Xenopus tropicalis: one gene and its partner. The protein of the gene in region 1 interacts with the protein of each later gene in a pairwise test. Links are inferred from orthologs where the notes say so. Each region holds a gene or a part of one and is shown on either strand. Other genes may lie near its edges. The genes, in order: arl3 and arl2bp.

Evidence for each region.
Region 2: the proteins of arl3 (region 1) and arl2bp interact in binary tests that used the Homo sapiens proteins (3 or more experiments, as listed by UniProt). The link is inferred for Xenopus tropicalis from reciprocal best matches to the Homo sapiens genes ARL3 and ARL2BP.

The regions. Positions count from the first base shown.
Region 1 is NC_030683.2:29,019,790-29,024,091, forward strand, and holds the start of arl3 (ADP-ribosylation factor-like protein 3), read left to right. Parts: upstream 1-1,309; 5' UTR 1,310-1,403; coding exon 1,404-1,406; intron 1,407-4,302. UniProt on the Homo sapiens protein: Small GTP-binding protein which cycles between an inactive GDP-bound and an active GTP-bound form, and the rate of cycling is regulated by guanine nucleotide exchange factors (GEF) and GTPase-activating proteins (GAP).
Region 2 is NC_030680.2:51,244,670-51,249,042, reverse strand, and holds the start of arl2bp (ADP-ribosylation factor-like protein 2-binding protein), read right to left. Parts: upstream 2,875-4,373; 5' UTR 2,841-2,874; exon of another isoform or gene 2,685-2,840; intron 2,395-2,684; 5' UTR 2,325-2,394; intron 1-2,324. UniProt on the Homo sapiens protein: Together with ARL2, plays a role in the nuclear translocation, retention and transcriptional activity of STAT3. May play a role as an effector of ARL2.

The DNA of each region.
Region 1 (4,302 bases):
GAGTGCCATTAAAATGAAATCATTATTCAGCAGAGACAGCGCCATTTAAAGCACATTATTCAGCAGAGACAGCACTCACTATACATGATTAGAGTGCCGTTTCAGCAGAGACAGCTCTCCATATAATTGACTAAACTGTAGCATATCCCACACAGCTCAGCAGGTACAGTTCCCCCTATAGGGAACCGCTCATAATACATTATATATAACTGACATATACATAACTCTACATACATAACTCTACCCATACGTACTATACCGATACGTACTATACCGATACGTACTATACCGATACGTACTATACCGATACGTACTATACCGATACGTACTATACCGATACGTACTATACCGATACCCATACTTACTATACCGATACCCATACTTACTATACCGATACCCATACTTACTATACCGATACCCATACTTACTATACCGATACGTACTATACCTATACCCATACTTACTATACCCATACTTACTATACCGATACGATTGTAAGCTCTTTTGGGCAGGGCCCTCTTCACCTCTTGTATCTGTTACTGATTGCTTTATATGTTACTCTGTATGTCCAATGTATGTAACTCACTTATTGTACAGCGCTGCGGAATATGTTGGCGCTTTATAAATAAATGTTAATGTAATGTATGTACTATACCGATACGTACTATACCGATACGTACTATACCGATACGTACTATACCGATACGTACTATACCGATACGTACTATACCGATACGTACTATACCGATACGTACTATACCGATACGTACTATACACGCTTCAGCAGGCACATTTCTCCCTATATCAGATTATCAGCAGGCACATTTCTCCCTATATCAGATTATCAGCAGGCACATTTCTCCCTATATATGATATATATAAGATTACAGTTGCTTACAATGCCACAATGGACACATAAGGGCAGTTAAGGAGTACATATGGCACAGGAACCTTGCAATAGCCTTTCACCTATACATATGATGCAACCATAACAAAATTCAAAGCCACCAATGCACATCGGTTAGGCATTTACTTGTACATAGTGCAAACTCCTCATGTACCGTACCTGTACCGTGGCTACAACTCTTCACTCCACTAACTGCCATTCACTTTTCAGGTCTTCCGTCCACGCTAGCTACTTAGATCACTGTAGCCTTTAGGACTGCCCCCACCTATTACCTCAGCCAATCGAGTCCCATATCTGTGCCGCTCCCACTTTCTCTTCCCTTGGTGCTTTACAAGCGACTGCAAGTTTTCCGCATGCGCACACCGCCGCAAGGTGGTAGTTCAGGGCGAGGTTTGCCCTCAATGCGCAGCGTCTAGGGGCGTGGCTAAACGTACAACGCACGCCGCGTCGCTGGGTGACGTAGTTGCCCCTGGTAACCTGGAGAGTCGCTGAGAGGATGGTGAGTGGTGCTTTGAGGGGTTCTCGTATCTGGTATTTTAGGATGTTAAAATCCTTCAGGAGTTTGGGGAGGGAAAGAGGCAGCAGATAATGAAAACTAGCTTATTTATTGGTAAATAAAAAATGTGTAATAGGAGAATTCCTCAATGGGTATAGAAAGCTATGGTTGCCGGGACGCCATGATGCTAAAGAGGTAAAAAGGGAGGGGAGAGGGAGGACTGTCACCGTTCCGCTGCTCATCCATTGCTTTTCAGCTTAAATCGCACACACCGTAACCGGGACCGGGAACTATAACTACCAGAATCCCCTGATAGCCGGACATTGTAGTTCCAGGCCAATAGGAGAGTCACAGCTAGAGGCTCTCCGGCTCCAAGGGGTTAAGGAAAGAGATTAAATCGGCAAAGCTCCAGGCCTAATGCCAGGTCTATACCAAAGGGAATACAGATATTACCTTATCTTTTAATTCGAGCATAAAAATCTTTGGTCTCTTTTAGAGACTGCTCTTATCTATTTCTCCTGGGTCTCATTGATGTATTACATCCTGTACATCAGTAGAATAGTCCCCAGCAGCAATGCATGGATGTAGATAAGTAGAGATAACGTTATGTTTTATACAAGCAGTAGTATCTGGAGAGGAGGCAGACCCTGCAGTTGCTGCTAGTTTTGGAGGGCGCTCAAATGATCTCGCTGTGGGGCTCCGTTATGCTGCTGTTGACTATAAATCAATGTGGATCAAATTTTATTTGTAGTTTGTTGATCATTTTTTACATTACATGTTCCGCTGCTGGATTATATGCACATTTTGATGTCATAAAAATACGTTTTTTAAACCCTTGAGCAAACTAGGGGCTGTAATAATGACTTGAGGAGTTAAGGTGGCCATACATGTCAAGATCCGCTCTTGTCTCGATATCCCCCACCTACGGGTGGGGGATATTGGGTGAATTCAGGCTAATTCGGTTGGTTGTTTGGCCCTGGGGACAAACGATCGAATTAGAACGCTGGTAATAGGCGCAATTGGTTCGGGGACTGCATCAACGAGCCGTCGTAGTCCCCGATCCGACCAAATTTTTTAACCTGCCCGATTGATATCTGCCCCATTTCAGGCCAGATGTCGGTCGGGCAGGCCTGTTGTCCCCCTACATGGCCCGATAAGCAGCCGAATCAGTCTAAGGTCCCGATATCGGCAGCTACAAGGTGTATGGCCACCTTAAAGGCCTATAATGCTCTAGTTTGTACAGACCTGCCATACAGAATGATGTTGCCCAATTTTCCCTATTGAAGTCATTATTGGCATCTCTGTCCCCAAAATAGGAACTTGCAAGCAGATAAGTAATTATGATAACATTTATTTGTCAGTTGCACCGCTTATTCAAGAGTTTCATCCTAATATTCCATTCCTAATACGCTTCACCTGCAAAAACTTTTCTAATGGTTGACCACAATGCATTATGAGTGGTTCTGTTTCAGTAAGCATTGTTTCATGTGTGGTAAAAATAACTGTGAACATATGTATTCTTCTATATTAACAGACTAGGCAGAATGTATTTGTAGGGTAAGTTCTATTCATTTGATGGTGAAGCTATATGTAGATGTATACTGCCCTTTTAAAGGAACACTAACATCAAAAAATGAAGGCGTTTTAAAGTAATTGAAATATAATGTACTGTTGTCCTGTACTATTGAAACAGTTGAGTTTGCTTCAGAAACCCAACTATGGTTTATATAAATACACTGCTGTGTAGCCATGAGATGCAGCCATTAAACTGGGGAAAAAAGGAGAAAAGATACAGGTTACATAGCAGAAAACATATTAGCCCATGGCTACACAGCAGCTTGTTTAATATAAACTATAGTAGTGTTTCTGTAGCAAACACACACATTTTAACATTTCAGGGCAACAGTACATTATGTCCTGATTACTTTAAAACATTTTCATTTCATTTATTTTGGTGTTACTATTGTTACTTTATGTATTTAACTATTTTTGGCTGCAGTTCTCCAGTTTGGAATTTGGATTAAGATTTAAAGTCAGATTTAATACATAAAAACATAATATATAAATGTTTAACTTATTTAATACATAAAAATCATGATCTGTGTATTTCTATGGAAATTTTAGAAGCATATTTATCAAATTGTGAACTTTCACCGATTGATAAATACACTTCTTAAAAACCCATAGGAATGAATAGAACATGGGTGAGTTTTTGTGTGTATTAGACTTTAAACTCACATTTTGATAAATCAGTAACACTAGCAATGGGCCTCTTTGTTTAAATATATTTACAACTGTATGTTTCATAATGTATAACAATTATTATAAATCATTTTTGATATAGTGCTGATGTTAAACAACACTTTATAGTGGTTGTTGATCATTCACATTAGTTCCTGTCCTAGTGGTGTTTACAGTGTATATTTGTTTCAATTAAACTTGCATATACAGGTATTGGACCTGTTATTCAGAATGCTCAAGGCCTGGGGTTTTACAGATAAGGGATTGTTCTGTAATTTGGATCTCCATACCTTAAAGGAACAGTAACACCAAAAAATTAAAGAGCTTTAAAGTAATAAAAATATAATGCACTGTTGCCCTGCACTGGTAAAACTGGTGTGTTTGCTACAGTAACACTACTATAATTTATATAATAAGCTGCTGTGTAGCCACGGGGGCAGCCATTCAAGCTGGAAAAAAGGAGAAAAGGCACAGGTTACATAGCAGATAACAGATAAGTTCTGTAGAATACAATAGTGTTTTATCTGTTATCTGCTATGTGCCTGTGCCTTTTCTCCTTTGAATGGCTGCCTCCATGGCTACACAGCAGCTTATTTATATAAATTATTGTAGACTTTCTGAAGTAAACACACAACTTTTACCAGTGCAGGGCAGCAGC
Region 2 (4,373 bases), on another chromosome or scaffold:
CTTTGCATATTGGGCATCAAAATGTTCAGTAGACCGCTGGCATTCATATTTAGGGTGATGTGTCATTATACGTAAGAAATGTTGTAAGATAAATATGGCAAATTGCAACAATTTTAGGCCTTTTTCAGTAAAGTCATAAAAACCATTAACTTTAGGAAAGCTTTCCAGATTGGTACTTTGGTGCAGAAAGTCTTCTTAACTCATGTTGGATTTGTCAGAATGTGTACTTTTCAAAAATATATGGTTTTTAGGGGTCATGCTACATTTCTGCAGCTTCTACCCCTCATAAAACTGCCATGTGTTTATGAATTAGGTTAAGGTAAGCCACAAAATTAGTGAGCACAAGGTATATTTGGGGGGTCTCTAAGTGCCATGTGCTTTGATAAAACTGTGTACAGTGGGCATCAAACTGTTCAGTAGACCTCTGGGGTTCATATTTAGGGTGTTTTAGCTTGGTACCTAATGCTATGTGGGAGATAAGATGCTGCAAAGTGGAAGCTTTGAGGGGATTTTTGGAAATTTAATCAAAATTGCCAACTTTAGGAAAGCTTTGCGGCTTAGTACTTTGGAGTAGAAAGACATGGGTACCCATTTTAAATTCGGGGGGGGGGGGGGGGGTTTTACTTTCCAAAAATATATGACTTTCTCAGGGGAATGTACTTTTTACTAGCATTATCCCACATATAATTATGTAAATGTGTTGATTTTGCAGAAGCTGAAATGACAGAAATGATAGATCATATGGGGGTATGTTCCCATTCAGGCCCCTACATGCCACATACTTAGGTAAACCTATACATATTGGGCATCAAACTGTTCAGTGGACCCCTGGCGTTCATATTTAGGGTGTTTTATCTGGTTACTTTATGACCTGTAGGAGATAAGATACTACAGACTGGAAGCTTTGAAGCGATTTTTAAAAAATTTTCACAAATTTTGATAAAAACCAATAACTTTAGGAAAACATTGCAACTTAGTAGTTTGGAGTAGACAGGCAGTTCTACCTATTCTGGATTCCCCAGAATCTGTTCTTTTTAAAAATGTATAATTTTCTGGGATAAACTTTCTGTTAGTGGAATTTTTGGCCTTGAAATCTAAAGTGTGCAGCTTTCTGGAGCAGTGCTTTGGAAATTTGGTAGTGTACTGCAGGGAGTTTTTGACCTATACAAGTGAGAAATCTCCATAATCCTATATATATTTGGCATTGGCAAGTTCAGGAGACATGGGACTTTCCAAATCAGTTGTATTTTCATGCATAAAATAATTTTTGTTTCTGGTGTATGTGTTTATATTATGGAAAATATTTTTTTTCATTTTTTAGACATTTAGAAGCCTATATCTTGTTACAGAATTGGAATTACACAAAAATTCCACCATATTTTAAAAGCTTAGGTTGTCCTGAAAAAAACATATATATATATATATATATATATCAAACCAAGGATGGCACACCGCTTCAATTCTTGTCCCGGGTGCACGGTAAAAAAATTAAATATTGCAAAAAAAGACCAGCAACACCGGATCTATTGTGAATAGTAGATTATATTAAAAAATGCATGAACAGCCAACGTTACGTTTCGATCCCCATCGGGACCTTTCTCAAGGCAACCTTGAGAAAGGTCCCGATGGGGATCGAAACGTAACGTTGGCTGTTCATGCATTTTTTAATATAATCTACTATTCACAATAGATCCGGTGTTGCTGGTCTTTTTTTGCAATATATATATATATATATATATATTGTTTTCCTGGGTAAACTAAAAGTCCCCCCGAGGAAAGGCCCCTAAAGTGAAACAGTGCAAAATGTTCAAAAACTGTCTGGCAGTAGAAGTTCCAGTTTGGTCCAAAACGGCTGGCAGTGAAAGGGTTAAAATTTCAGAAGCTATCTGGTTGCTAGGATGTTGTTTACATTAGCAACCAGGCAGTGGTTTAAATGAGAGACTGGAAAAGGAATAGGAGAAGTTCTGGATAGATAATAAAAGTAACAATAATAATAAAATTTAAGCTCACAACGCAAATCAGCACTTATGTTAGTAATGCAACCCCTGCCTGAATAATATACTATACTCTATACTCATTTCAGATGGTTAATCGTTACTCATTTAAGATGCCTTCTACAAACCATACGGAGTCAAAAAGTGTGTCCATTTCAAAGGGATAATGGTACCAATATACTAAGTGTTTAAGGAACGGTAACACATAAATATTTAAATACCTTATAAGTCACAAAACATCTCTAACATTAGATCTAGCCTTTCCCACAAACACAAAAGCTATTTCATGATATAAGGGTTTTAGTAAATTCAGTTTGAAGTGATTCTTACCTGAAAAGGGATGATGGGAATCAGAGCGGTGCAGATATCCAGGGGTAAGCCAATGTCCTAAAAAATGTACCTAAAACAGGTCAAAGGAATATTATAGAAGGTTCCTTGATGATAAGGTTACATTGATTATGCAGTTAGCAGAAGGTATTCAGTGCCCATAAGAAAATATAAATTGTAGCTAATAAGGGTAAGAGCGGGGGGGCGCCGTCTCAAGTCCAGTGTGCTCTGCGTCTTACGGGGCCCGGCTGTGTTGCACTTACTTGGATTGTGGGCCCACTACATTCAATGAGCTACAGAGTTTAGAAGGGAGGGTGGTTGCTAGGGTACCTGCAGCTTCTTTCCCCTACCCAGATTATGTACCGTATGGTTTGTCCCAGTTTTCGTCCCGGTTGAGCCGTATGAGGGATTGGCTAGGCTGGGGGGGAGTTAAAATCTCACCTTCCAAACAAGTAAATGCACAGTGCCCAACAGTCCCGCTTTTCATAAAACAACCCACAGTCGTGAATCACTACTTGCACCTTCAGCAAAGCCTCTAACTGCTTGCTTCCTTCTTTCTTTCACAAAATCCCGACTCCTGGTCTCATCACGCGAGATTTAGCGTCACGGCTACACTTAAGCACAGTGCCGCGCACATAGCCGCCTTATGGGGACTGCGTAAGAGCCTCAAAACAAATAGAAGCTGCTAATGTGTGGCGCTGGGTGCCTCACAATCTGCCTTCCCTCTGCTCGTGTCCCATACTTTCGTAAGAGAACAAAGAAGAATAAAAAGGAGACTTGTTTTGGTTGCCCACCATGATACATGCCACCTCAGTTCCCAGTATTACCGCAGAAGTAATTTGTAATTTTTGCTGAGAGCTCAAATGTGCCAGGGAATTGAAAAAATAACTTTTTAGTGGCTGCAACAGTACATGCTGACGAATTTGACAAAAAAACAAAAAGGGTCCAAGTATTTGTTTTACAGCAGTGTCACAGGTTACTAGACATTTTTTCCTTGGTCCCTACAGCATACCTCCCAACATTTGAAAAATAAAAAGAGGGACAAAAAGATTTGGCGCGTGCAGCGCGGCAATTTTTTGGCCACGCCCACTTTTGTGACCACGCCCCAATTAACACACACCATTTTTTTCTAAAAATACTCCTTTTATATTGATGAAATGGTGGGATCAGATGCAAATGTGCTATACCCTCATACTGTACTACCTAAGGAAGCCCACAGAGCCCCCCAAACACAGTGTCCTTCATACACAGAGCCCCCCCATGTACAGTACCCCCCATACACAGTACCCTTTATATACAGTACCCTTTATACACAGTGCCCCCCCATACAAAGAGGCCCCCCAAACACAGAGGCCCCCCAAACACAGAGGCCCCCCATACACAGAGGCCCCCCAAACACAGAGGCCCCCCAAACACAGAGGCCCCCCATACACAGAGGCCCCCCATACACAGTGCCACCCATACACAGAGGTCCCCCAAACACAGAGGCCCCCCAAACACAGAGCCCCCCATACACAGAGCCCCCCCATACACAGAGCCCCCCAAACACAGAGGCCCCCCATACACAGAGGCCCCCCCATACACAGAGCCCCCCAAACACAGAGCCCCCCAAACACAGAGCCCCCCAAAACACAGAGCCCCCCCAAATCACAGAGCCCCCCAAAACACATAGCCCCCAAAACACAGAGCCCCAATACGCGCTCCGACTCCTTGCGCTGCTTCTCTCCTGTGGCTCCTTCACCAGCGGTCCCTGGCCCTTTTATAAGGTTGCGCCCCGTGTGTACGTGTGACGTCATTACGCACGGGCGCAACCTTATAAAAGGACCAGGGACCGCCGGCGAAGGAGCCACAGGAGAGAAGCAGCGCAAGGAGTCGGAGCGCTCATCCCGCTGTCACGGATCCTTCTATGAATGTCCCGCATTTCCGTAATCTATTACGAAAATGCGGGACATTCAGGGAACTATCCAGGACAGCGGGACGAGCTATAGAAAGCGGGACAGTTGGGGGGTATGCCCTACAGTACCTGTCATCATGAGCCTCTTCTCCCAACTT